4 linked regions of the Tamandua tetradactyla genome follow. The main gene of each other region encodes a partner of the protein of the gene in region 4 in a complex. Links are inferred from orthologs where the notes say so. Each region holds a gene or a part of one and is shown on either strand. Other genes may lie near its edges.

Region 1 (8,015 bases), on a different chromosome or scaffold from region 4:
TAAATGCTACGACCATGACCATGAATGGCTTCCCACTCCGTGCAAATTGCCCTCCTACCGTGGTGACAAGAAAGACTTCGACAGCCTTATGCGACACCGACGACACCACCATTTTACAGGAAATCAGAAGTGGGCATCTTGACCCACTACTCATTTAAGATTGTAAAAGACAACAGACACCGAATAATATCGGAGAAGAATCTATACGTTTCCGTATAACCAGAGTCACCCACAAGTAACAAACAAGTCGCACATAAAACTACATCGCCTCCTGCACGACATAACAGAACGAACAAACAAGTCCAAATCAAACCCCCACTAACCATACTATGATAACTCACTCCAAATTGAAAAAAAAAACAAAGACGTACCGCAAACTAACTAAAACGAAACAAAAAAACCCACAAGCGATCGTTAGGGGTATCAGATAGGAGCAACCAGGGTGTTGCAAGCCCTGATTACGCAGAACGCTAATCACGTATCATGCCAACTCCAATCATCACATATCCAATCTGCCCTCCCGAAAGAGGAACAGGTCAGGATTAACCCTCCTAACGATAAAACAAAAACCTCCTACCACGCTGCACTGTTTAAAAGATTCCGCTTTTACAGAGGGTGTGTATATAACGTCTAAGCCTAGTCAACCTAAAGGTGTTTAGGAACTTACATGAAATTTACATTTCTACTGCTACTTTTCTTTTACATTGTTCTCATACTGCCGGCTCACAGAAAAGGGATACACCAATTCCTCCCATACTGCTCCTTTCACCGCTGGGCGGCCGACCGCTCCCTTATTTACATAGCTCCACCCATCCCCTCCCGCCAAATGTCTACCGTAATAACTAAAATAAAACGGTAATTCTAGAAAAAATTGCTTTTCTCCAGTAATTTGACCATCCTCATTCTCTTCTGAAATTTTTATCATGTCTTGATCTTATTATAAAATATCTTTTATTATAAAGCACGAAATAAAACGCTAATAATCCTAGAATAGGGAGCTAATTACCACAATACACATCTTCCACCAGGTGCAGTTTCAGAGTGAGAAGCCTACGTCGTCTTCTTTCACGACCCGTGTACGGCCCCTTGCTCCTCCAGCCTTCGTTCCAACATTCTCGTCATGGAGGTGATCAGAAAGGCTTCTTTTTCAGCCCAAAGACAGCGACGAATAATGCCATTTCAGATACGGCTGGAACGGCGCTGGGGTGGGGCGGGGGGAGAAGGAGGGAGCAATTGGCGGTGGATTCAGGATCCCTTCCAATAAAAATACCCAAAATCCCAAACCAGAGACTCCACCCAAAGTGTAAGGAGTGGGGGGTGAAGAGACTTCAAAAGACCACAGGATGTTGAGTGGATCTGGTGTCTGACACCAGGGGGAATTGGCTGCACAGGGAAAACCTTCCTCCCACATCCCCAAATACTGGGTGCTATCGCACCTGCAGAAGACAAAAATGTACCAGTACGTTGTGCACTCCCAACGCTCGAATATGAAGAAGGACAGGGCCACGGATGCACTACAGTGTGCCCCGATGGCTTGGGAACACACCAAAGTCAAGGAAAACCTTTGGATGGATGGACAGGTAGTGATGGACTAGAAAAGGCCTGGGGTGGAGGTAGCGGCGGCTAGCACCTGCTCTCAAGTTAATCTCTTGCTCCCACCACTCTACAAGGGCCAGAGACAGCAGCCCTGTCTCCTGAGTTTTAAGACAGCCAGGTGAGTAGAAGCCAGAGGTAAGCCTGCACAGCTGGGACTCCAGGGTATCCCAACACATATCTAGGGGACAGCCTGGCCTTCAGAAAGTACCCCACACACCCCCAGACCACAGACAGAAATGCTCACAGCCCCTTGATACACTCTACTTGAAACATACTCCACCACCCTGCTCCTCCAGGCCCACAATTCAGCTATCAGGAGCCTTCTTTGAACCATGTTCTGCACTTCCTCTCTCTCTTCTGAGTTCCCATAGTGCTTTTTATATCTTTATGCACTCCCACAGCACAGTGCTATCCCACGGAATTAGAGATGTTTTTGTGTCTGCTTCCTCCTCACAGTAGAAAACTGTGTTTTACTCTCATTCTGGTTCTCTAGTGCCTTGTATATAGAAGAGGCTTAACAAATGTTTGCAGATTGTATTAAATGCCCCACATTGCCTAAGATCTGTCAACTGGAGAAATTCTGTTTGCCTGCCAGGCAGCCCTCTGTGCTAGTAAAGCCTGGTTAGAGGGGTCGTGATGGAATGGGCAGTGTAGGTAAGGTGTACAGGCAGAAAGGATACAGATGAGGCTCTGGGTGTTGTTGAACATGGAAACTCCTGAGAAAAAGCCGGCCAGCTCCACTGCAAAGAGGCCCAGGGTGACAGAGAGCGCTGCCACCAGCCTGCAGAGAGGAAGGGGGTTGACTCAGGACTTCTGGACTTCTAAGACCCCTCCACTTCCACCACCGCTTCATTTTGATCACCCGCCCCAAGAGCTCACTGAATGTCCTGATTCTCATACTCCTCGGGGGTGAACTTGAGAGGCAGGCAGGCCTGGATGTTGCTGTCCTGGGGAACCGCCATGGAGAGGAAGAGAAATATGAAAGAGAGGCGGGATGCGGAGCAGCCTGGGGAGTAGGGTACCGGCTCGGGGGTTGAAGCACCCAAGCAGGTAGTCCTGGGAAGGGGCGGGGCAGGACCGGGCGGGGCGGAGCGGGGCAGGACCGGGCGGGGCGGGGCTGGAAGGTGGGAGAGGAGCAGCGGTGGGTCTTACCCGAGACCAGAATAAAGTAATGACGACCACCATATGCGCCATGAGCGTCAGGAAGCGAGAGGGCACGAGCCCTGAGATCCGGCCCATGGTGCCCGAGGACAGGGGTACCGCCCCGAGCAGAGGCTGTAGTCTCTGAGGCTGGAAACTCTGGGCTGGCCACTAATAAAAAAGCCCCGCACGAGCGGACAAAAACTCTTCGGCCTCTTTACTCCCGCCGGCGCTGGCCCCGCCCAGTTGTCCTGGCAACGGCGTGAGCGGGCGCACCGCCCTGCTCGCTGGAAATCTCGCGAGAGCAGGGAAGTCTCGAGCCGCTCGAGTCCTCAAACTTCACCCACGTGAGGAAGCCTGATCCATTCCTCCGGAGGCAAGTCACCAACAACCTTGTTCGGTTTAGGGAGAGATTTGCAGAGTGCGAGAAACAGCCAGCTCTCTTGAAGAAAGATACGGATAAGAGGCGTGTTTCTATAAGAGAGTGGATGGCAGGGCCTGGAGAGGGGAGAGGCGGGTGGAGGAAGGGAATGGAACCGGCCCTGCGTCCTCAGGAGGCTCTGAGGTAGGGAGGCAGACTAAGCGCGCGATTTCCTCGGAGTGTCCGGCACCCCTCCTTCCCCTGGCAGTCCAAAGACCGCTCACTGTCGGCGACCTCACTGACGTTTGGGCCTCTAGGGGATCCTTGCAGATTTGGGAAAGCCCTCCCCGGAGTGCTGTTTTCTCACAAGGTCCCTGCCCACCTCCCAGCAGAACCCCCATTCCCATTTCTGCCTTTAAGCCTTGTTCTGGGCTACAAGCCCAAAAGGCCTTTCTAATGTCTTAATTCAACAGATATTTATTGGCCGCCTAGTAAGTACTAAGCATTGTACGGGCCCTAGGAGTACATTGGAGAACAAATGTTCCTACTTTCGTGCATTTATATTCTAATCAGGGACATCGACGGCAAACACACGGTAATAGGAAAACACTAGAATAATATGACCAAGGAAATGCACTTTGAAAGTGGGTCTTTTGTTCTTAAACATAATGTTAAACAAATATTTTAGGGAATTTGGCCAAAAGTGTGGCAAAATGCTTTCTCTCTTCCAGGCCCGCAAATTAATAAATGCGCTTCTTTTTTTTTTTTTTTAACTGTCTCTCACATGGTTTAGAAAATATTTATGTGCGTGTGTGTGTGTATGTGTTTGTCTATATAGAGAAAAACGGTAAAGCGAATGTGTTCTGGGTGAAGGCATGGGAATTCTTTGTACTGTTTTTTGCAACTTTTCTGTAAATCAAATTATTTTTAAACGAAAAGATTAAAACAGTAAGCCTCTTAAGTTTTCCTTTTGAGTCTTACACAGTATTATAATTGAGACATTAAATTGCTTTATAAAAAAAGAAGGAATGATATCTCGGATTTGAGAGCCGTTAAATGTTGCTTTCCTATATACTGAAGCTATGTAATGGCATTTTCATAGAAACTACCTCTTTAGTGAGCAGCACTAAATTAGCTTTTATCCCCATAAATGGAAAATTTTTTAGATTTTTCTGAGCACTTAGTTTTACAAAGGGAGATATTTAGCAAAGTCCTTTTATTTTCTACTCAAGGTAACAAATCAAATATTGCTTACACTGGTCTCCACTCACAGGTTTGTAGGGGAGGTTCTCTCCTTAACTGTTACCATTTCTAAGTTCTGCAAGTATTTCCAAACCTCCCCTCATCTCAGGGTGAACAGGAAAAATCAAGTACTGTAAACACAACTGTTTGTCTCCCTTGAGGTAACCCTTTGCTATTTGACTCCTAAAATGAATGATCCTGATGACCCCACAATGAGAAGTGGTTCCTGTATTCTCCAGCACAGATATTACAGCGTCACAAGTGTGCAAATAGCGTAGAAAAGATGTCAGGACGTTTTTCTTCCCTTCACTGTAACTGACATGCATTTTCTCCTGAAAGTTCAGGCCTTCAGAGCCAAGCTTCCCCAGTGACAGTTGCAAAATTGACTCCTCACAGATGTTGGAAGCTCTGTTGTAAGGCCTAAGCGACAAAAGGTCCAGGATATGGTATTTGCAAAATCTTCAAAGTCCCCTGGAACAAAGGGAATGAAGAAAAGGAGTCAGCCATGTAAAGCTCTGGGGAAGGAGCCTTTCAGACTGAGGGACCAGCAAGTGTAAAGATCTTCAGAATGGATCAAGCCCAGCGAACAGAAAGGAAGCCAGTATGTCTGAAGGCTAGTAATGGAAGGGTAAGAGAAGAGAAGGGTGGGGTTGGAGAGGTGGACAAGGGCAAAAGCCAGTTCATGTCACGCCTTGCAGCTACGGAGAGGGGCATCAATGGATGTGTATTTCAGATGTCTCTGTTTGCAATGTGGGGAATAGACTTTAAGGGAGTAAGACTATAAGCAGAAGGCTAGTGAGGATGCGGTAGAAGTGTCCAGGAGGGAGTATGATGGGGCTTGGACTAGGGAGAAGGCAAAAAGTGGAGAAACAGAGGGAATCAAGAGCTGTATAGAATATAAGAAAGTTTGGATGTGGGGGCTTTGGGCAGGTGAGAAAAGAGAACAGTCAAGGGTAACTGTAAGATTTTAGGCTCCAGCAGCTGGAAGTTTGGGGTGTTTTGCTTACAATACGCTTCCTGCCTAGAGGCTCTATTAGAAAGTCAGAATTGAACAGTCACGTTCCCTATTGTAAATCAATAAATACTAAACGGACATTGTAGGTATGCATCATTTTCTGTGACCTGGGTTCACAGAAGCCTACCCTAGATAGATGAAGCCATCGCTAGCGTTTTCACAAAAGTGAGTTTTAAAGATAATCTGCAACCTTAGAAGGGCCTGCTAGTTAACCAGGTGTCCTCCAGTTAGCCCTCCAGGGCTACAGTCCACAAGTCCTAACAATGAACTGGAAATACAAGAACTTAAAAAAATTTTTTTTGATTCCCAGCCCATGTACCCCAAAACAAAACTTTTTTATAATGGAAAATTTCAAACATGTATAGTATAATATGTTTATATAAAGAGAATAAGGTAATGAACCCTTCTGAATCCATCCTCCTGCTCCAAAAATTGTCAACACATGGCCAGCCTTATTTCATCTATTCCACACCACTCAGTTATTTTGAAGCAAATCCCAGATATCATCAAATAGTCCATACTGGCCTACTGTCTCATACACACACACACACACACACACATATATATATATAATTTTTTGTTTTTGTTTATTTTTTAGAGCAGTTGTAGGTTTACAGAAAAATTAGGCAGAAAGTAGAGTTTCCATATATTCCCCCCAATGGTTTTCCTTATTATTAACACTTTGCATTGGTGTGGTAATTTTGTTATAATTGATGAACCAATATTATAATTACACTATTAACTAATCTCCATAGTTTAGGCTTCACTTGTTATGTTGTATATAGTTCTATGGATTTTTCTTTAAGTTGTGATAACATATATACAATATAAAATTTCCCATTTTAGCCACTTTCAAGGACACCATTCAGCATTGTAATTATATTCATAGTGTGTTAATATCGCCACCATTCATAACCAAAACTTCTTTATCACCCCAAATAGAAACCTCCTACCCATTAAACCTTAACTTCACATTCCCTACCCCTTCCTTTGGTAACCTGTATTCTAGTTCATGACTCTTAATTTGCATATTCTAATTATTTCATGTGTGAGATCATGCAATATTTTTAGTTTTGTGTCTGTCTTATTTCACTCATACCTTTTTTTTTTTTTTTTTACGGTTAGTTTGCTCAAATCAAGATCGAAGTAAAGTCCAGACATTGCATTTGATTGATATGACTCTTAAATCTCTCTTTTTTGGGGGGTGGGATGGGGTGGGGGCAGGAGCCGGGTTACATGGGCCAGAAATCGAATCTCTTTCCCAGGCATGGTCTTAAATCTCGTTTAATCTTACGTTTTCCTCTTCCTCTTTTTATTTTCTTGCAATTTATTTTTTGAAGAAACTGGGCCATTTTGTGGGCTGTATTCTTGTGCTGTCATTTAACATATTCTTAAAACCCTGTAAACTGTCTAATGTTTGGCTCTTCAGTCTTAGGTTCAATTTCTAGTGAAAATACATCCTGGTTGTGGTACTTCCTATTCCATCACATCAGGATGGCTGCTTGTCTTTTTCTGGTGTTAGGATTGAGCACTGGGTTCAGTTGCAGTCAGACTGATGATGCAGTCATTATAAATTTGCCATCATTTTTTCACCTCATGATTCAAGCATCCATTGGCCATCATGTTACCAGAGAAAGGCAGTGGATTATCTTGTCTGACGCACTCAATAACCAGTTCCTGAGACAGCTGGGTTTCAGAGAGAAAAGAGTTTCTACTGGGCATATAGTAGGAGAACAGATGGCCTGGTGACCCAAAATCTATCTACCCAAGTTTAGGGAGGTTCAAGGTTTTTAAGGACTTTAGCAAGGGGAGATGTGGTCATTTCGAGTAGCAAGTTCAAAGCAGAAAAGGAGACAATGTTATCAATATTTCCATAGAAGAATATAAATTGAAAGGAAAGGAGGCAGGCTAACGACTTCAGTACAAAAAGTGTAAGCCAAAAGAAATGGAGACAAGTTATCTTTCAATAGCAGAATCTAGCTAATAGGATGTACAAATATCAGGAGCTGAAGCTAGTTAATGGCTGACTTCAAATTCTTCATTAGCATTAGGACCTTTGCCTTATAACTAAATGACCAGATAAAGGGCGTAACAGCTTTTAGAGTTACGAAGTCACAAGGTGAAGGCTTTTACAATAATTTCAGATGCCATGACAGCTGGATTATAATTAAGAGATTTCAGGAATTTCCCTCTGTCTACTCCAATATACCAGAAAGCAAAAAGGAATATCTGTATAACGATTCAGTAATCAAAATCATCCCTTAAATCCTAATTTCTCAATTATAATCACCAAGCTCCATTGTTTCATTAGAAATTGCAAAATGGAAATGTTCTAATTCCATCATTCCTCCTGCATATCAGCTGGGATTCTTCTATAAATGAGAAGGTGCCCTCATCAACGTGCTGTTTACCCTGAGATACAGGTCATATGGCTAAGGCAGGATAAAGTGTTATTCTCCCCTCTTTATTTACTAAATTTCTGAATAATTAATTGATTCCTTAAAAGCATCCTCCAAAGTTGACTAATTCGTTGTTTTCAGTACCATTGTGAGCTTATGAGTCTTAACTTCTTTTGTCTGTTTCAATCCATTGCAGTTTTTCTTTCTGATGCTCAAATTGTTCCAATTTTGGCCAGCCTGAGCCTCTTCAAGTTGTCTCCTG
Region 2 (7,202 bases), on a different chromosome or scaffold from region 4:
AGCCTTGAAATATCACTTAAAATAGTATGAAAAGTTCTTTTCACGAGATTTAACTTTCTATGTAATTCATAGTCTAACTCTTTCTTATACACCTTTTTGAAGTGCTGAGAACAGAATATATTGTACTAGGGTTTCAAAAAGGTTTTGATTATCCATTAACAATTTGAGGATCATAAGATTATATTTCTAGTAATTTAGAATAATATTTTCTAATATGAGTACTGATGTGGAATCAGAATATCTTTATTCTACACAAATTACAATTTATCTTTAAAATGACCTAAATTCTGAGAAATGGCTCAGTTCATTTTAAGGCAATAAATTCAATGATGTTCATTCAAAAATATTTTTCCTCCTAAATTTTTTATTAGCATCAAGTAGAAATAATTTATCTTTATTATATCAAGGAGTAATTTGAATAACTCTCCAAATTAATTTCTTGTTGCATAGAGTAGTAATACTTGATACCTTTGCCTCTTGTCAAGGGGAAACAAACCATTGCAATAGCCTTGAATTTTTTGTGAAAATAAATATTTAACAAAGCGAACCATAAATGCAGTTAAGCCCCAATGAATACATTTAAAAACTAATGGAGAAATGGGTATTTGAGCATCAACATTGGTATAGGAAGTAAACAGTTTCACCCTAAATTTTAGGGTTATTTATTAATCGTGCCAGGAATGACTCCCCTGGTTCTAAGAATGGCAGTTCCATTCTTTTCTCTTTAGCTCCTGTGTTAGTAATATGTCCAGAGTACAAGAAAGCCAAATTATACCCCTCTCTTAATTCATGAAAGTGCATTTGTCCCCCTATTCTTCAGTATTTCACTAATGTGATTGCCTATAAATACTTTATTGCGAGGATCAACAAACAAGATATTTGGAGAGTTTGTCGTGCCCTTTGGACCATTTGCCACATGAAGGATGACAGAATTTTTTCCAATCCACAATTTTTTTCTCTCAAAGCTCTTTTCTCTAAGATATTTTTGCACCATCACTCCTTCTTTTTCTTCATGTACTTAGTTTTGGCAGTTATTTTGTGATTTTATTTGAAAATCAGCTATTAGTCTTCATCCACATTGATTGTAGGGTTTTGAAAGTGATGACAGGAGCATAGTAAACACCATCTAGAGCTTGTTTGGTGACTCTTCACTCTCATTAGTTTTCTGGACAACTGTACATAAATACCGTTTGGGACGTTCCTTTCTCCTTTGGCCCAACAGCTTTGTTGAGCCTGGAGTCAATGTGCACATCTGGCGTTCCCATCTCCTTTTCCTGGCAAATTTCCTAAACTCTTTGAGAGCCCAAGGGGCATGTTCTTGAAGCCCACTCTGTGGATACACTTGTGAATGTTTCTGGTACCCTCCCTCACCACCTCTTTGATGGCACAACAGCCCTTCTTCTCACCACCTTTCTTTGCAGGAGCCATTCTTCCTGTACCAGATTGGAAAGGAAGACCGCAAATCATTGTAGAAGGAAAATTATTTTCTAATTTATTTCTTAACAAAATTTGCTTTTTCCTGTGAAACATATGCTCATTAAGAAAATTAAGATAATAAATAAAATTAGAAGGAAAAATAGCCATAACTTCATTCTTTTCTTCCTCTAGGATTTTAATGAAATAGTTACATCAATGTTTCACTTCTTTTTTTTTTTTTAATGCTAGCAAAAAATCTTTAAAAGAATTCACTCAGGCTTTTGACAAATTTGGTTAACATGCATAAGCTGTTTTATTGTTGATTGCATCCAGTGTCTTTAATAGGGAAGCAATAGAGGTATTGCTTAACAGGTATAGTTGAATTCAGAAAACTAACTGCTGGCATGAGTTGACTCCACTGTAGGTGTTTCTTCTTCCTAAACATCATTTGAAAAAATGTGTAATGATAGCTAGCATTTATAGGGAGCTTTATTGAATGATATAATCTTCACATCAACCATAGCAGTAGGATATAATTAGTCTCATTTTACAAAACAAGGGTCGGAAATCAATCACACAGCTATTAGATGGCAGAGTGAGAATTTTAGGGGACTTGGACCCTGCTGTAATTCCAGGGGCATTTCTCCCATTACAGCCCAGCTCCTCACTACAAGTATCATACTCTGCATAAAAAGACCTTTCATCTAGGCACTTTAAATCCTGCTCTCCTCTTTTTTTTTTTTTTTTATGGCTAATATCAATGAAGGAAATAACATCTTGGTATATAACTAAAAATTGATTACTTTCAATGATTATTTCCCAAATAGATACTTAAAAGTTGGATTATGGTGTGAAAGGGCATGAAAATGTTTGTCTATTTATATATATTATTGATTGTTCTTCTAAATGGGGGTTGCTCAAGTATAACTCAATCAGCAGGATATTAGACTTCCTGCTTTTTAAAATAAAAATCTTGATTAATTAAATAGATTCAAAGTGATTCTTTGTTGCTATTTGTATTTTTTTTTGTCATAATTAACTGCCTTTTAATATGCCAGTTCTTCATTCTATAGAGAGGACCTTAAAGAAGGGCTGGCTAAATCCTTGAACTAGAAATGGGAAGATACTGGACTGATCATTAGATCTTTTATTCCCATTTATTGACTAAACAGTCATCCAGCTCCCACTATAGGCCAGACACAGGGCTAGTGTTGGGGATATAAAGAGAAAAACAAAAGCCCATCCTGCCATCAAAGAGCTTGTGGACCAATAAGAGGGACAGCCATATAAACAGACAATTATAGTTCAGTATGACAAACACCCTGTACAAAGTAAGCATAGGATCTTGGAAGCCTTTTTAGAGATGGTAAAGCCTGAGCTCCATCCCGAAACGCAGCAGAAGTTAGCCAGTTTTTCACTGATATCCCCAAGTCCCTGGCAGAATTAATTGCTTCCTCATCAGTATCCCTTGGTTAGAGCACTTAACAGTGTATTTTGCTTATTTGTTTCCATGTCTCTCTCACTAGCTGAGCTTCCTGAGGGGAGGAACTACAACCCTAATTTACCTAGTTCGATGCATGAAAACTCAGAAGAAATTCAGTAAACACTTATTGAATTATATTAAAATTCTAGCCATGAAGCAATTTCTTCCCATACTATCTTCTTGACGTTTAAAAAAGTATGTATAGCTTCCTTTTGCTCATAAAAATAATACTGTTTACCATATACCCATCAGAACGACTATAAATTAATAGAGGGAAGAAACAAACACTGCTGGAGTCAGTAGAAATTGGTATAACTACTAAAACTGGATTCTACCTTAAGACCCAGTAATTCCACACATAGATATATACTTTATATTTATATAAAGTATGAAAATAGGCAAAGCTAATCTGTGTTACTAGAAGTCAGGAGAGTTCCTAGTTGAGAGCTGGACTAAGAGGGAGCAAGAAGCGGGGCTTCTGGGAGTGCTGTAAAGGTACTGTTTGATCTGCGTGCCAGTAATAGATGTATACTCAGTTTGTGCCCTCGTCTATACGTACATTTCAACTAAACATGCTTTGTTTTTTAAATCATACATCTTATTTGAGAGAAAGCTGGAAAATACAGAAATGTTTTAAAAAGGAAATTTAAATCACCCACAATCCCATTATTTAGAGACAGCTACTGTTAAATTTGGTCCACGTACTCTCTCCTCCCACTCCCTGTCCCCACATACTTACACGCACATTTTGCTAAATTAGATTCATATTTTTTTATTTTACTTCTGCTTTTAAAACAAAATCCATATCATCAAATATTTTTTGCAAGCATGCTTAAATGTTACAATGTTATTCCACTGAATGCATGTGCTCTAATACATTTAATCAGTTCCCTATTGTTATATATTTTAGTAATTTATAGTTTGCTTTACACTTACAAAAAAAATATGGTGTGCAACGCTATTTTGTATATAGATTGAGGCACTAGTGGGCCATGAACGTTCTTTAAGCACTGCATCCATTCTACATTTCCCTCCGGAAAGGACGCGCCGAATTACACTCTTCACTGACAAGGTGTGAAGGCTCTGCTCCCTTGCATCACAATCCAATCCCAGGTCATTAAGGATGGCGGGGTTTACACAGGACGAGAGTAGCTGCCGTTTTGTACACAGCTGAGGCCTGGGCTCCCGGGGAATGGATGAGGCCCGGCGCGCGCATCCCTGCTGCAGGCACGCGGCTCGGCCCCGCACCCCGCACTCCGCGCTCCGCAGTGCGGCCCTGCGGAGCCTCGCGCCTCCCGGTTGCCGTGGGAACCGCCGAGCGCGGCTGCGCCCACAGACCAAGCTGTGTCTGTGAGGGCCAGGGGTACCGAGGGCCAGGCATGGAGCTTCCAGACCCCGTCCGCCAGCGGCTGGGAAATTTCAGCCGGACTATGTTCAGCGACTCAAACCGAACTGGGCCGGAGAACGAGGGTCCGGGTGAGTGGCCTGGGCCCAGGAAGGGGGTGTGGCCCGCAGTAGGCCTGGCGCAGGTTTTGGAGCGCCCAGTTTGCCCGGACCTAAAATGGCGGTTTCGCCTTCAGCTGGTTCTCTGCGGTACCGACAGCGCCTTGGAGGAGAGGCGGGGCAGGAGCTGGGGTTTGGGCCGGAACCCGGGTTTGATCCTGATCTGGTCGCGCTGCGCCTGACCCACACATTGCGGCGCCTATGTTGGCAAGGGCCTTTGCACCGTGAGGCTCAGCGCTGCCTGGAAGGAGACTAAACATTTTTTAATTAAATTTAAAAGCCGCCATAGTTGCGCACGTCCCTTTCCGCGCCCTCCGCAAAGACCGTGGTTGCTTTTTCTCCTGCGTATGCCTGGCTTTTGTGGCCTCGATGGGATTTGAGGAGATGGGGAGTAAGGGAGAACCATCCAAGCAACCTGCCCACCTCTTCTCCTCCGCCCCTGTGAAATATTGCCTGTTCTCACTTCCTAGCAGAACAAGTATGTTCCCTCACAGGTCCGTTTTACAGCAGGAGAGATGAAAAAAAAATTTTATGAGTCATTTTAAACCGCTATCCACTCTAGAGTGACAGCTGCCACACTAGCAGGGTCTTCAAAACTGGTCCCTTTCCCAGCCTTTTCCTCATTCCCTATATATAGCTCTTTCTCTAAATCCGGTAACAAAATAACACGATGCTACATTTAACATGATTACAAGTGAAAACGCAGTTTCATTCAAAACAGTTTTTTCTCCTAAGTCATGATAGATAACATCCTGTCGACCAAACCTTTGCTGTTTTCATCACTGCTGAGAAACCAAAGTCTTTTCCTCTGCTTGATTTTAGGGACTTTTTTAAAAAAGAGAGAAAAGCAAGGTCGATACCCATAGTTCATTTTGTCACCTTGATCATTTGCCTGTCCTCAAATTTTAGGCCTCTTTCTGATTTAGCATGTACAGAGAAAAACATAATGTGAAAAATTAGGTTTTCAGGTTTCTGATTCTACAGCTCAGGCTTAACAGACCCTAAAATCTGATGTTGCAAGGCAGTGATTTCAATCAGGGTCAGCAGTCTTTTTCCGGACAGGTCCAGATAGCAAATTTTAGGCTTTACAGTCCACCCAGTTTCTGTAGCAGCCATGGAAAATAAATAAATGAATGGGCATGGCTGTGTTCCAAAAAATATCTGTGTGTGGACAATGAAATTTGAATTTCATATGATTTTCATTTATCATGAAATTTTTTTTTCAACCATTTAAAAATGTGAAAAACCATTCTTAACTCGCTGCCTAAAATAACAGGCAGCTGGCCAGAAGTTTGCCTATTCCTGATTTATATTCTGTAATGTTTTAATTTAAATTCAGTTTGCAAAATTCATCTTGTACTTTTGTAAATTTAATAAATTGATGTTTTGGGCTTCTGAGGTTCATTTTCCATTGTGTGATTATAAAATTGATATGCTGAAATATGAACATAGCATAACTCAAGATGTTCATGCACAAAATTTCTAACAAAAACTTTTCTTTGCAAAATTTTGACTGCTGTCTCTGTTCCAAAAGTACTAAAATTTTCAGCTTAAGCAGTTTATCATTATTTTTTCCGTATTTTCTTCTTTGTGGATTTGAAGTAGGTTTGATTATTTGTACCATGTTTTCAAGTTTATATCACTACCATGTCCACAGCTAACCAAGAGTTGAACTGTTATGAAGAAATCCTAGGCTGATGATTTTAAGACTTTAAGAATTCATTCATTTATCAGTGAAGATTTAATAAATCTGTGTATGCAAAAGTAGATCATAATAATCAGGTTTATTCTTCAAGCGAAAGGAAACCTTACTGTGAAAGATTATGATTATTTATTTAAATAAATTACTAAATGATGCTGAAACTACTCAGATGTGGAGAAATAAAAAATAATCTGTTTTCAAGAAATTATTTTGGAACCTTTGTAAATTCCTACATTTATAGCAGTTGATTTCAAACTATAATTTCTACTCTTAAATTGGGGCCTAGTGAAGTGAGATGGAATGAGTGTGGTTCTTTGCTAATACTTTTCATCCACAATTGAGAATAAGTACCTCTGGGGGGGAATTTCTACTCAGGTGAGGAATCATGATCAAGGAAGGATTTATGGAAAAGGGGACATTGAACTGGGTGTTAAAGAATGGGTGGGATTAGGATATACTGAAAAGGGGATGCGTCTATAACTTGGACAGATTATATGAAACTAGTTTTTATGTATTCTTATGTATTCCTTTTATAGGCTGTTTATATAGAACCCTACATATGCTGTAAAATGTTATTATTATCTGTTCAATGACAAGTATTGAAATTCCACATTAAATCTACACCAGCATTGTGCAAACGAGTCAGCAGACCATAATGACAAAGTGAGAAAGTAATTGAGAAATATGAAACACACTCCCAAATAGATGGTGAAATTCCTTTCACCATCAATGGCTATAAATAGGCGTAAAATTTGGAGTTTTGTTGAACCAATACCGTGGTTTTCAATTCTAAGGAATGAAAGGACTTGCAGGCCATAGATCAGGATTTGGAGCATGTCCCTTTTCTCTGTGTTTTTTCTGTAGATAATGAAATGGTCTCCAGTTTGGCACTGCAGATGTCAATTTATTTTAACATTTACTTTTTCCCGCTTTGGTGGGTGAGCAGCATCATGATGCTTCAGATGAAGGTAAGTCTATACTTTTATACCTCTGCTGAGGTCTCTTCTCCCCATCCCTGGCATTGTTACATTGTCAGTAAAATTAAAGTCCTGATTATCTTGTACTATCTTAGGTCAGTTTCATGATATGTGAGAGCTT
Region 3 (6,901 bases), on a different chromosome or scaffold from region 4:
GTAGATATCACCTTGTTGTTCAAGATGTAGTGGAGAGGCTGGAGGGAATTGCCTGAAAATGTAGTGCTGTGTTCCAGTAGTCATGTTTCTTAATGATGATTGAACAATGATATAGCTTTCACAATGAGACTCTGTGAATGTGAAAACTTTATGTCTGATGCTCCTTTTAGCTACTATATCAACAGAAGAGTAGAACATATGGCATAAAAATAAATAATAGGGGGAACAAATGTTAAATTCAGTTTGAAATGGTGGTAAATGAAAGCGAGGGGTAAGAGGTTTGGTATGTATAGTCTTTTTTTTCTCTATTATCATTTTATTTCTTTTTCTGTTGTCTTTTTATTTCTTTTTCTAAATCGATGCAAATGTACTAAGAAATGATGAATATGCAACTATGTGATGATATTAAGAATTACTGATTGTATATGTAGAATGGAATGATATCTAAATGTTTTGTTTGTTAATTTTTTTAATTAATAAAAAAAGTTAAAAAAAAAAAACAAAACAGTCCCCAAAAAGGCACAATGGGAAAAAAAAATGTGTGATTGAGGGGAAGTGCCATGTTTTGTCAATAAATACAATCCTTTCCTAGTCCAAGGCACAAAAGTTCTCCCCCTTAAATTTATGTGCTTCTCTCTAGCTTTGTAAAATGATGTGCAAACCAATGTAAATAAGAACATGCAGCTTCCCTGCCTTATGAATTTAAAATTATAATCCTGCTTTATTTTCCAAAACTTAAAAGGAAAAGAGCTACAGGACTACTAAAGAGAAAGGAGAAGTATTAACAATCCCACTTAGGAAAAAAAGTGTCTCCCTCTAGGATGTGAGTGCACTTAATCAGCCAACAAGGATCTGTTGACGACTCTCTGGGTCTAAGCAGCACTTGGCTGCTCTTACACACCACTTAACATCTACAAGCCTGGCTTGTAGAGCAGAGGACAAATGGGTACAAATGAACCAAGCTGATTCAAGATGAACAGTTACCACTCTTCTCTTCCACCAATACTGCCTGTGACCCATTCTGCAAATAGCTGTCCAGTTCTCTATAGTGGGTCAACTTCCTTCCTGCTCAACCACTTACCAGTCATATGACCTTAAATTAACCAAGTAATTGAACTACCTAAAAAATGAGGGTAACAGTATCCCCATCACAGGGTTTTTATGCGGATTAAACGAGATACATGGGAGGTGAAATACTTAGCACAGTGCCTGCCACTTAATAAAAGTTAATAAATGGGGCAGGCCACGGTGGCTCAGCAGGCAAGAATGCTTGCCTGCCATGCCAGAGGACCCGGGTTCGATTCCTGGTGCCTGCCCATGTAAGAAAAAAGAGTTAATAAATGAAAGTTATCATTACCATCACAAGTAATGATAGGTAAAGAGGGGTCCTTTAAAAAGGTGAAGATCAGTACAAATTCATCCTCCATCTGGAAAACAGTTCTGAATACAAACACTACTAATGATAATTCAAGAATAGTTTCTTGGGGACAAGATTCATTAGCAAATGGATTACTTACATAAAAAACACAGTTCCAAAAGCTTTAGAGAACTTCAGACATTCACTAGTCTGCTGTCTTCTGTCTCAATTTATCACTGATTTAACTTCCTTACTAACTCATCAAATCAATTGTTTAAATACAAAAGTTTTGTGTGTATATATTCAAATAACAAATGGATTTCACTGTACTTTTTCTTACATACTACTCATAATCAAAGGAGGGCTTCTGGAGAAATAATGGTTCAGGAACCAAAGTTAAGTCCTACGCTTCAAAGTCATCAGTCAATGATGACTTTTCTAGTTATTAAGTCTTACCCTATTTAAGTAAAAATCTTTTTCTCTTAAGACAGGATATATATATATATATTGCACACCTACTGCAGTTACTCCCAATCCGCACACAGGATTTACATTTTTATCATTTTGAGATCACAAACCCCTTTGAGAATCTGCTGACCACTATGGCCCTCACCCCAGAAAAATGCAGTCGCAAAATTGTGCACTCAATTTCAGGAGGTCATAGACACTCCCTGAAGTCATCTGTGGAAAATCAGATTATAAAATATTCACTAAATGTGTAACTCCCAGGTTAGAGGGTCGCTTTCTGAGATATATGCTAACTATCCCTAAATATGACTTCTAAGAAGGGGGCATAACCCCTCACCCCATATCTTCCTGCATCCAACTGGGTTTTCATATTAAAAATCAAGAGACATTAACGTGTCATCCTGTCTATAAAATCTGATGTTAAACTTTTGTTCCCGGCTCAGACTTTCAGAGGCTAAGCCCAATGGCCACGGAAGAACAAAAACCTACTTTCTGAAAAAAAAAAAAATTAACAGACAAGGGTCTCGACTTCACATTTAGTAAGCTAAACCTTCGGCATCTCTCTTTCACGTAAGTAAAAAGTTAAATGCATCTTCTTGATGAAATTTCATCTTTGGCTACACGGCCTCACTCAGTGTTACTTTGAGCATTAATTTGTCCGGTATCACCGCAAGAACTTTCAAAAATATGATTTTCCGCACTTATGCTCTCCGAGCCTATTTATAAAACGGGGATCAGTGTTGTTGGAAATGTTAAACAATGCCTATAAAACACTGAGCAGTATCTGGCACACGTAAGTGTTCAATAAAAGTTAGCTATCATTGGTATTATTACATTCTTCCCTAGGTTACCTCCTTCTAGCTGGAACACTCCGGACCCCAAAGAATTGGCTCGAGGTACCCACCATCCGTGACTGGGGTGGGCCTGGAGCGGGAGGAGGGATCCGGAACCCTGGGAGTGTCGATGGGCTCAGGCGACCGAGAGGCTCCGAGGATCGCTGGAGCTGCCCGGGTGAGGGTGGGGACCTCCGTCGTCACCGCCGGGGTGGCCCCGGCCCGGGCGCTCTCGGGGGCCCAGCAGCCCAGGAGTACGAGGAGGAGCGGCCAGAGGCCTCGCGGCCCCATCACCCAGCTGAACCCCCCGCGGCCGACGCTGCGGCCCACGCGTTGCTTGGCAACGGCAGGGGCCAGGCGCGGAGCATGACGGGAAAGGGCCTGTGAAGCAGCTAGGGTGGCGGGAGACCTGCTGGGGCGGGGCGAGGGAGGGGCGGGGGCGGGGCGAGGCCCACGGTAGCCGGGATGAGGAAGGGTGGGGTCCGCAGGGCGGGGCCCAGAGGCGGAGCGAAGCCGCCCAGACAAGGCACTTGTAAGTTTAGTTATGGTTTCCTAACCCCACCTTAGCGCCTATTTAAAATATGCGGATTTCCAGCCCAGGGGATTCTGATTCAGTAGGTCTAGAGAGTGGCAGCCAAGAGTCAGTATTTTTAATAAAGGTCTTGACGCAGCCGGTGTGCGGGCGGAGATTTGGGAGCCGCATTTCTGACGAGACGACATACGGGTCTTTTGAAGGGGTGCGTGAGGATCACGTCACCGTCGTTTTGGTGCTTCCCGAGAGGGGTCCGCAAATAATGTTTGTCCACCTTTTTGTGGTAACAGGGGAAAATAAACACAACATTTTCACAGACGGAAAAAAAACACCTGACAAAAATTAAGTAGGGTGATTTTTTTTTTTGAGTAGGTTGATCTCTAAGTCTTAAAAGAAAAACAAACAAAAAACAAACCCAATCTACTATAACTCTACAAAATGGTAAGGAGAACACAAGACTTAGTGATATCGGTCAAAAGTGGTGGGTTCTCTGCCCCAGGCGCTGAAATGATAAATTCCTGAGACGGGGGTGGGAGTGGGGGGTAGGGGGGTGGGGGAGGTATTTCAAAGAGAGAAAAATTATTGTTAGGTGCGAAATAGATGATCTCATGGCCTAGCTAAAAATCTGTCTCCTGAATTGCAATAATTCTGAAGGTTTTATGGTCCCAAAGGATGGTCAGGTTTTAGGATAATAAGCACAATGACTCAAGATGACAAAATTAGAGATAATCTAATTATTGAGCATGTGCAGGTTGATTACATCCTTAGTCAAGAAGGTATGTCAGCAAAATGGCGGTCTTAATATGATGAGGGGCATGATTTTTAATATTATAATGAGGTATAGGTCATGAATAGGTTGAAGTCTAAGCTACTGCACATGTCAGGCGGGCCCATTTTGGTGAGAGCCAGCTTCCTCTATCAACATAGCTTTGGAATTGGAATGGGTTAGTTCTGGGCTGACTCAGGACCCTTCATTCATAAACACTAGGGGCTGTCTTTAGTGATCATAAGACTCTGAAGTTGAAAAATGGGATACAGCTCTCACAGTTGTGAGAGTCAGTCACAAGGATTTTATAATCACAAGATAAAGACTGTCATTATACAATATTATCAGAGATAAGACACCTGGATTAGTAATTTCAGGTATTTCCTCTGTCTATTCTAATATACTAGAAAGTAAAAAGAAATATCTATATAATGATTTGGTAATCATAATCATTTCTCAATCCTAACTTTTCAATTACATTAGGATGCCCTTCTGTTGTAAACTGGATTATTTATAAAGAAGTACCTGAACCTGTGAATGGTGGGTATACCTTTGACACTCTCCTTGTATTTCAGATGTAGATGTGAAAATACTTATACACATCCTGATATTTATTCAAGAAACACAGTTTACCCATTCAGAAGAATGCCGAAATAGTATATATACTGGTATATTTAATTTATATAGCAAAGCTAAATTATCAAAGTGACATTGTTAGGGCCTTCCTGTGGCATTCCAGAGAAAGTGAATAAAAATATAATTTAAAAAAACATAAAATATCATTGGATCATTCAAATCTATAATACAAATATTTCCAATTTTTTTCTGCCAACTATTGCCTTAGTATCTGTGCCATTTTGAATCTGTTGTGTACCCTAGAAAAGCCATGTCCTTTAATCCTCATTCAGTATTGCTGAATGATATCTTTTTTATTATTGTTTCCATGGAGATGTGGCCCACCCAAGTGTGGGTGGTAACTTTTGATTAGATAGTTTCCATGGAGATGCGTTTCCACTCATTCAGGGTGGGGTTTGCTTACCAGAGCCCTTTAAGAGGAAACCATTTTGGAAGAATCTTTAGAGCCACCAGAATCAATGGAGTCACCAGAACTGACTGAGTCTGCATAACCAGAGACCTTTGGAGATGAAAAAGGAAAACACCCCCTGGGGGGGTCTCATGAAGCAAGAAGCTGGGAGAGAAAGCTAGCAGATGTCACCATGTGCCCTTCCAACTGAGAGAGAAACCCCGAACTTCATCGGCCTTTCTTGAATGAAGGTAACTCTTGTTGGTACCTTAATTTGGACATTTTCACAGCTTTAGGACTGTAAACTTGCAACGTATTAAATTCCCCTTTTTAAAAGTGATTTCGTTTCTGGTATCACATTCTGGCAACCTGCAAACTAGACCAGCATCCGACTGAAATTCTAGACCGTTTTTAATAACTGATGAAATGCTTCCTTTAAAAAAAAAAAAAAAACGGTATTTTTCAACACAGTTTGAAACTTCTCATCACATAACTTCTAAGTCCAGGACTTTTTAATTTTTTTTTTTTAAAAGGGAAAGAAGTCTTTTCTTCTAGACCTCTATTTTCTTTTTATTTCTAATATCTGTGAATCACTTAGTCCTATTTTCTGTTTTGAAATTTTAGGCTGTTTGATTGAATTTGATAAAGTGCCCTATGACTTTAACATTTTTGTCTTTATGATTATATGACCTTTGAGATTCTCTTCAAGTAAAATATTCCATGATTCCAACTGAGACCTGCTGCATGATTTGGTAACTAATCTCATCACCTCTTTCTGTCCAATCTCAAACACTCAGTAGATGACCTAAAAACAATCTATGACATCTTACAAAGTCAAAATGAAGGTTAAGTTAACTCAGATACATTTTGTAAACCTTAGGGAAATTGGAACGAACTTTTCATTTCACGGATTATCCATTTCTGTCAGGTTACACCCTCTTGAATCTGGGTTTTTTCATCTTTCTCACAATGCCCCCTTCTCCCTTCCTTTTACCCAGGCTTTATCATTATGATGTGAAAATAACAGGAGAGGCTAAGTTATTTTCCCATATTTTATCCAGCTGCACAGCATTTGGATTGTATATAAATGTTTGTGATTAAAAATGTCCATCTGACTTTACACCAAAAACATGGGCAACAAAATAAAAAATAGATGAATGGAACCTAATCGAAGTTAAAAACATTTGCACATCAAAGTATTTTATCAGGAAAGTAAAATGATGACCTACAGAATGGGAGAAAGTATTGAATATTCTATATATTCTTTATATAGAATATATAAAGAACTCGTACAACTCAACAACAAAAAGACAACTGTGTTTAATGTACAAAAGACTTGAACAGACATTTCTCCAAAGAAGATATATAAATGACCAAAAAGCAAATGAAGAGATGCTCATTGTCATCAACCATCAGGGAAATGTAAATCAAAATCACAAGTACCATTTCACACCCACTGGAATGGCTACTACTTAAAAAAACAGAAAATAACAAGTATTGGAGAAGATGCGGAGAAGTAAGAACCCTTGTACATTGTTGGTGGCAATGTAAAATAGCGTAGCTGCTGTAGAAAACAATTTGGCAATTCCTTAGAGAGTTCCGTATAGCATTACTCTGACCCAGTAATCCCACCTCTAGGTATATACCCCAAAGAATTGAGGGAAAGGACTTGAGCAGATATTTGCACATCGGTGTTCATAGTGACATTTTTCATAATTGCCAAGAGGTGGAAGCAACATCAAGTGTCCGTCTATACATGAATGGATAAACACAATGCAATGTGGTATATACATAAAATGGAATATTACTTTGCTGTAAAAAATGAAGTTCTGATACATACTACACCATGGATGAACCTTGAAAACATCAAGTTGAGTGAAATAAGTCAGACATAAAGGGACAGATACTGTCTGACCTCATT
Region 4 (7,200 bases):
CCTTTGCAGGCAAAAGTTTCATAGAGGCAAACCCCAAGATCAAGGGCTCAGCCTACTGAATTTGTTGTCCCCACTGCTTGCAAGAATATCAGGAATTCCCCAGATGGGGAAGTTTATTATTTCTTCCTTTCTCTCCAGTCCCTCAAGGGGACTCTGCAAATACTTTTTTATTCTCTGCCCAAATTATTCTGGGATATATCAGGGCATTGCATAACCCCTATACAAACCAGTAAGATCTCATGTCTAAGGCATATTTTTACATCTGTTGATGGTAACTCAAAACTCTTAATGGCTCCTTGTTGTTGTTAGCATAAAATAAGGTCTTAAGATAGCCTATCCCAAACCATTCACCAATGTGCTATATTCTCTACACACTTTCTGCAGCTGTTTCCTTAAATGCAAAGAATAAGCACACTCCTATTTCTTGTCTTTAATTACGGTAATTTCTCAGCTCTAGAATCTCTTTACCATTTTACCATTCCCCATTCACTTATCTAAAACTATTGTCAGACCTGATCCTGCATGAAGTCTTCAAAGTTTTCTCAAACCTCTTAGATCTCTCCTCCTTTTATCTACAACTATAGCAGTTATTGCCTGCATTATTCATTAGGACCTCCGTATATACCAAAACGTATTATTTATTTCTAAATAAACCCATTCTGCTTCCCCTACACATTCTTCTAGGAACTTTAGAGCAGGAACTAGCAATGCTTTGCACACTAAGGGCTCTCTTCAGCCACATTTTTTATTTTTTTTTATTTTTTTTATTTTTTATTTTTATTTTTTTATTAACGGAAAGAAAAAAAAAAAAAGAAATTAACGCAACATTTAGAAATCATACCATTCTACATATGCACTCAGTAATTCTTAACATCATCACATAGATGCATGATCATTGTTTCTTAGTACATTTGCATCGGTTTAGAGGAACTAGCAACACAACAGAAAAAGATATAAAATGTTAATATAAAGAAAAGAAATAAAAGTAGTAGTAATAGTAAAAAACAACAACAACAAACAAACCAACAAGCAAACAAAAACAAAAAAATCCCTATAGCTCAGATGCAGCTTCATTCAGTATTTTAACATGATTACTTTACAATTAGGTATTATTGTGCTGTCCATTTTTGAGTTTTTGTATCTAGTCCTGTTGCACAGTCTGTATCCCTTCAGCTTCAATTACCCATTGTCTTACCCTGTTTCTAACTCCTGCTGAACTCTGTTACCAAGGACATATTTCAAGTTTATTCTCGAATGTCCGTTCATATCAGTGGGACCATACAGTATTTGTCCTTTAGTTTTTGGCTGGATTCACTCAGCATAATATTCTCTAGGTCCATCCATGTTATTACATGGTTCATAAGTTTATCTTGTCTTAAAGCTGCATAATATTCCATCGTATGTATATACCACAGTTTGTTTAGCCACTCTTCTGTTGATGGAGATTTTGGCTGTTTCCATCTCTCTGCAATTGTAAATAACGCTGCTATAAACACTGGTGTGCAAATGCCCGTTTGTGTCTTTGCCCTTAAGTCCTTTGAGTAGATACCTAGCAATGGTATTGCTGGGTCGTATGGCAATTCTATATTCAGCTTTTTGAGGAACCGCCAAACTGCCTTCCACAGTGGTTGCACCCTTTGACATTCCCACCACATTTTAATATATCTCACTTTTTGAGTGTTGATTCAGATTTTACAAAGTACTTAGGCAGAGATTACTTATTTCAGATAAGAAGAGATTCTTAAATGCTTTCTAATAGTTTAATAATAAAATCTACTGCATACAAACCTTCATTAGTGACTGAGTAACTCTGAAAAGATGTATCACATTTTCTTGATTTTCATTTTTTAGTTCATTTACTTCCACCTATGTAAACAAAAAGCAACTATTTAACCAAACTATAAGAACGCTTCCAGTTCTACTACAAAATGATTTCAGGAGCAAAGATTTAATCATGGTTCTATGTATATATTAAGCACCTTGGATAGTGAAATCAATAAATTATCTGCCAATTCTTCTTGACGAGGCAGGTCATCTGGGTCAATTTTCATAATTTCTTTCCAGTTTATATTAGGTGGCATCTTGAATTCTTTCACTGTGCTTTACCTTCTATAATAAAACAAGTGTATATTAGCATTTCCAAGGTAAACAGTCTTGACTCATAACTCTCTGCGGTGTTAGTTATGGCTCCTTAATTGCAAAAGAAGTAAATGGGCAAAATAGCCTAACCAAGAACTGTAGCAGTCGGCCCAAACTGTCAGAAAAAAAAACAGTACCGAATAAATAAAATTCGACGGCTTCCTTGCTAAAAGAATCCAGGTTAGGCCTGAGATTCTGGATCCCCTTCCCGACAAACCCTGTCCTCAACACGCGCGCACATTTAATGGTGCCAAGAGCGGGGACACTTGAAAGGCTTAAAATGACTGACTCGGATAAGCAGCAACTACGGGTAAAAAAAAAAAAGTGCGGAAATAAACATTTGGACTGAGTGAAGTTGGCCTGGGAAACCAGGGCTGGAGCGCGGAAGGCAAGATTGCAGAGAGACTAAAAGCGGCGGAGAAGCGGCGCTGTTAAATACAGGCCCTGTGAGGCTAAAGAACCCGCGTTTCACAACACTCCGACAGCTCTCAGGAAGAGCAACCCACCTAGATCAAAACAGGTAGCCAGCGAAGAACCCTCATCTACCGCACCCACCACGCCTAAGCCAGCCGCCGAGCTCTGACCACACCCCCAGCGCCGTTCCACTCGACGTCTAGGTCCGGCCAACTGGAACCATGCAGAGTAGCGGCGGTGGCTGCTAAGCGACGCCTTTCCCCACCCCGCAGACTCCGGAGCAAGGCCCCGGATGCAAGCAGAGCCTACATTTCACGACTGTGGATTAATGCTTTACGTTTAGATTCCCCGCCTATACGTGCTAAAGAAGAGGAGAAGGCATGCAATTAGGCCTCTAAATCCCAGAGCGCAGTTCTGCGCCGAGTCCTGTGCATGCTGGGAGCTGAAGCCGCTGGGAAAGGGAGGGTGGGTGTTCCCAGCGTGCAGTGCGGGAAGCTGCGCCCGAACCCGGGCAACCTGGATAATACTTAGACGCGGGAGGTACGGGGGCTGAGACGCGTCCACACTGGTGGCCTGAGCGAGTTAGGCCATGACTATGGCTTCAGTGGCCTCACTCGCTGGGCCCTTCTTCCTGCGCTTTCCCTAAGCGGCTATCGCTGTGGTACCTCTACCAGGTGAGGTTCGGCTGTCGGTCAGCGGAGGGAAAGGAATTGAGGGGAAGCTCCACGCACTGCGACCGAAGGGCCTGGCCCTGTTTTGAAGAGCTAGTAAGCGCCACCTTCTCCTCAGGCGTTTGCAAGAGGCGCCAGGGTGGTGCCCTCTGCGAGGAAAAAAGTTTTGTCCTTCTTTGGTATCAGAATCTATCTCCATATTGTGAAGTGGGGCCCGCGCAGCCCAGAGCGTGGTTTGGGGACCAGTGAAGAATTGAAAAGATGTGGTGGTCCTCCGATCTTGTCCGCTTTACCATTGCTCTCGCGGATTTAAGGATTCGATAAGTGCTAGGGTAGAGTGGAAAGAAGAGGTCCCTGCTGGGGGTGGGAGGTGGGTGTTGGAGAGAGAGAAGGGCCGCTAGGTTTGTCAAACCACTTGTTTGATTGCCGAGGGTACCTTCTATGGGAGGGCCTCTTCAGTTATTTACCGCACTTATTCGTGCGAGTTTTGAGCATCCTTCTGCTCCCCGCGATTCTGGAGTATGAGGGATTAGTGCTTGATACAGCACTAGGTAATTTAAGAAGCTGTAGACTTGAAATGTAAAATGACTTCCCAGCTGTGTGTGCCAGTGCGTCTCATCGTTACCATTTTTTTTTCCTTAGCTTTTCTTTCATTATTAATACGATAGTAAATTTTCCTTTTGAAAATAAAAGATTTCTTTTCAAACCACTCGTTTGAGTATTAAAAGTAGCCCAGGTGAAAATAAAAACGTTAACTTTGTGAAATAAATTTTAGAGACATGTGTTGGGTTTGTAGATACTATAATTTAGTCCTTTACTGAAAGATTATATGCCAAATACTGTGCATTATTTCATTTAATCTTCATAAAAATCCAGTGGGATGGGTTCTTAATACTGTACTCATTTTCCAGCTAAGTTAAGAAACTGCATCTTAGAGAGTTTAAGTACTCTGATCAAATCTAAGTAGGATAATTGAACATGGTTCTTTCTTTCTGGAGGACAAGGTCTTAACACCTACTCTAACTTCTCTGGGCACCAGTATTTGTAAAGGGCTGAGTGAATCAACTTTTCTATCTATGTTAAATATATCATATTCTAATTGAGACTTTATTTCGTCTGGACTTCAAATATTCTTCACATTCAATGTTTTTAATTCACAATTTACAGGGAAAGGAAGGGATGAAATTTAGTATTTACTTTGCTTATTACTGCATATTTATTTTTGTAAGAAGAATCTTTTTTATCATAATACCCTGTTTTCTACATAACTTTCATTGTAACTAGCTATTACTTGATATTTATTTTACTGATTTTGTTTTACTGTATTGGTCTTTTTTGTCCTTACCTTCCTTACCTTCTTATTCATATTTATATTACCAGCACGTGAAGGTGCCTGGCCTATGGTAAGTTTTATTCTCATTTTTCAGAAGTTAAAACAAATTCAGAGAAATTAAGTGATTTCCTAATAATTGGTGAAGCTAATATAACCCAGATCTCAATAATAATCCTGACTAAAAGCAAACTCGTGCATAAAATTTCATTCTTTAACCTGTTCTATTTTTGAGCTTGAACACTGTAATAGACACTGGAGATACTTTGTATCTCACTATGTAATTCTGAGGAAAATCGCTAATACTGTCCATTACTTTTCATCACATTTTGTGCATTATTCAGTTTCCACAAAGAGCAGGGATTAATGTGACCTTCTTTCAGAAACACTTGCCTAGACCTGCCTTCTTTTTTCTCTAGGGCTTTATGAACAGTTTTATCTGACCAAAATCTCTTTGCGAGATGGATTTGTCTTTTGTCATTGCTACCTCTGTTCTCTGAAGCAGTCAGCCAGTATTTCTTAGATGTTACTACTGTTCTCTTTTTGCTGCCTTATCATGTAAATAAGTGGTAGCTTACTTTTTCAGTGTCTAAAATAAAGCAGGAAATATATTCACTATGTATGGTTAATACTTTGTTTTTGCCTCATTCTCTTGGAGAGAGGTGTGTACAGCAAGCAGACACTTGTCTTCCTTCAACATGAGAAGACTGGAAAGGATAGTAGACGTCATAGCAGGCCAAACAAACTTACAAACTTTAGAAGTAGAACATAGAACGTTGTTGTTAAAGAAGATGGTACAGTCACCATGGAACCATTGAACTGGGAGGACTTCCCTTCATAGGCTAAATATTTCCAGATTCATTATTGCAGGTTTATTTTTTACACAATTGAACTGTTGGATCATTGGAAAGAGTGAGCACTCAGTACAATTTTGTTGCCAGAATTGTATTATAAGATGTGTTTGTATCTATGATGTAGGTTATAAGTTGTCTTTAGTTGCAGTCTGAAATTACTCTACAGCTCAGGTGAAAAAAAAACAACTGATAGAGCTGCCTTCTGCTGAAGTAGCTTTATGCTAAGAAATACTAGAAAGCTTGAGAAGAAATGTACTACCAATAAAATTTTTAAAAGATATAAATATCATGAAAAGGAATAATCCTGTTATATTTTCTCAGAATACATTAGAAGAAAAAGGAAAATTTTTAAAATGAGACATCAGTGATATAGAATATTGTTCTGAAATATCCAACCTCCTGATAATACATATTTCTAAAAACGAGAACTTAAAAGATAGAACAAAACTAATAAGGTATTTAAAAAAAAAAAACGAGAACTTAGAACAAAACTATTAAGTAAAACATAGGAAACTTGCATAATGAGAAACATTTTAGATTTGTATTTTTAAATATAATTACTGTGTTTTCAGTTGAAGCGTTTTGTTGCCAGGTGAAGGTATTTGGATTTATAATGTTTGTATACTGGCCAATGACACGGAAAAGCCAATCATAGCTGTAATAAAATATATAGTGACATCTCATTTTTGTAATGTAAGCAGATAAACCAAGCGACTCTCCAATCACACTATTTGCATATGTATGGGTATGCTTGTGAACATAGAAAAAAAAACCTCTAAATTCACAAAACAAACAATTGACAGTGATGTATTACATTTTTACAGTGTGACCCCCCAGGGAATCATGCTTCCCTCTATACTTAGTGTAACTAACCCCCCTCCCCTTAGCCTTCCAAACTCTACCTTTGCAGATTGTTCTTTCGGACAGAGACTAAGATGATTCTACATCTGAGCTCCTGAACATGAACTAGAATTAGCACTCCTTTTCTCATATTAAGCTGCCTTGGAGATTTTTTAAAATTCTGTCATTGGCAGTTTTATAACCTCCCCCACATTGATTCTGGATTTAAATTGCTTGGTTGAGAATAACAATGCATTAAGGAAGCAGAGGCCTGAAAGTTCCTGCATTGAAACTTGCCCTGTTGTTTTCCTGAGATCACCATTTAAAGAATCCCAGGCTAATTCCTAGATGATGGGGCCATGAGTAGCAGAGACTAGCCTTCCAGGCTGAGACTTCTACTCTTTAAATTGTTAGCCATAGTTGTTATCAGACAAAAGTGGTGGATTCGTTTGCCAGACGCAATCAGTAACCAATTCCTGAGACACTGGGGTTTCAAAGACAGAATTTATTTCTAGGCATGTAGTAGGTGAGCAGATGGCCTAGAGGCCTAAGATCTGTTTCCCTGAGTTTAGAGGGTTCAGGATTTTTAAGGAGTTTAGTGAGGGGAGATGCAGTCACTTTGGATAACAAGTTTAAAGCAGAAAAGGACACAATGTTATTTCAATAGGAGAACAGAAGTTGAAAGGAGAGAAGGCAGAACTATCACTTCAATACTAAAAGTATAAAAGTGTAAGCCAAAAGAAAGGGATACAAGTTATCTTTAATAGTTGAATCTAGGGAATATGATTTACAAATATCTAGGACTGAAGCTAGTTAATGGCTGACTACAAATTATCCATTAGCATTAGGGTCTTTGCCCTACAAGAAAATGACCAGAAAAAAAGAAGTAACAATTCTTAGTCACAAAGGTACAAGATAAGGGCTTTTTGCAATCATTTCAGATAGGGCAACT

Evidence for each region.
Region 1: CEP290 (region 4) and TMEM107 share a complex: the UniProt entries of both Homo sapiens proteins name them as parts of the tectonic-like complex. The link is inferred for Tamandua tetradactyla from reciprocal best matches to the Homo sapiens genes CEP290 and TMEM107.
Region 2: CEP290 (region 4) and TMEM17 share a complex: the UniProt entries of both Homo sapiens proteins name them as parts of the tectonic-like complex. The link is inferred for Tamandua tetradactyla from reciprocal best matches to the Homo sapiens genes CEP290 and TMEM17.
Region 3: CEP290 (region 4) and TCTN1 share a complex: the UniProt entries of both Homo sapiens proteins name them as parts of the tectonic-like complex. The link is inferred for Tamandua tetradactyla from reciprocal best matches to the Homo sapiens genes CEP290 and TCTN1.

The regions. Positions count from the first base shown.
Region 1 is NC_135332.1:62,012,663-62,020,677, forward strand, and holds TMEM107 (transmembrane protein 107), read right to left. Parts: upstream 3,016-8,015; 5' UTR 2,836-3,015; coding exon 2,749-2,835; intron 2,544-2,748; coding exon 2,476-2,543; intron 2,378-2,475; coding exon 2,277-2,377; intron 1,534-2,276; coding exon 1,437-1,533; intron 1,201-1,436; coding exon 1,131-1,200; 3' UTR 403-1,130; downstream 1-402. UniProt on the Homo sapiens protein: Plays a role in cilia formation and embryonic patterning. Requires for normal Sonic hedgehog (Shh) signaling in the neural tube and acts in combination with GLI2 and GLI3 to pattern ventral and intermediate neuronal cell types.
Region 2 is NC_135343.1:35,276,364-35,283,565, reverse strand, and holds the start of TMEM17 (transmembrane protein 17), read left to right. Parts: upstream 1-4,192; 5' UTR 4,193-4,278; coding exon 4,279-4,375; intron 4,376-6,968; coding exon 6,969-7,072; intron 7,073-7,202. UniProt on the Homo sapiens protein: Transmembrane component of the tectonic-like complex, a complex localized at the transition zone of primary cilia and acting as a barrier that prevents diffusion of transmembrane proteins between the cilia and plasma membranes.
Region 3 is NC_135331.1:11,363,402-11,370,302, reverse strand, and holds the start of TCTN1 (tectonic-1), read right to left. Parts: upstream 3,008-6,901; 5' UTR 2,950-3,007; coding exon 2,730-2,949; intron 1-2,729. UniProt on the Homo sapiens protein: Component of the tectonic-like complex, a complex localized at the transition zone of primary cilia and acting as a barrier that prevents diffusion of transmembrane proteins between the cilia and plasma membranes.
Region 4 is NC_135333.1:157,258,697-157,265,896, forward strand, and holds the start of CEP290 (centrosomal protein of 290 kDa), read right to left. Parts: upstream 3,002-7,200; 5' UTR 2,646-3,001; intron 2,110-2,645; exon of another isoform or gene 2,107-2,109; 5' UTR 2,082-2,106; coding exon 1,980-2,081; intron 1,867-1,979; coding exon 1,789-1,866; intron 1-1,788. UniProt on the Homo sapiens protein: Involved in early and late steps in cilia formation. Its association with CCP110 is required for inhibition of primary cilia formation by CCP110.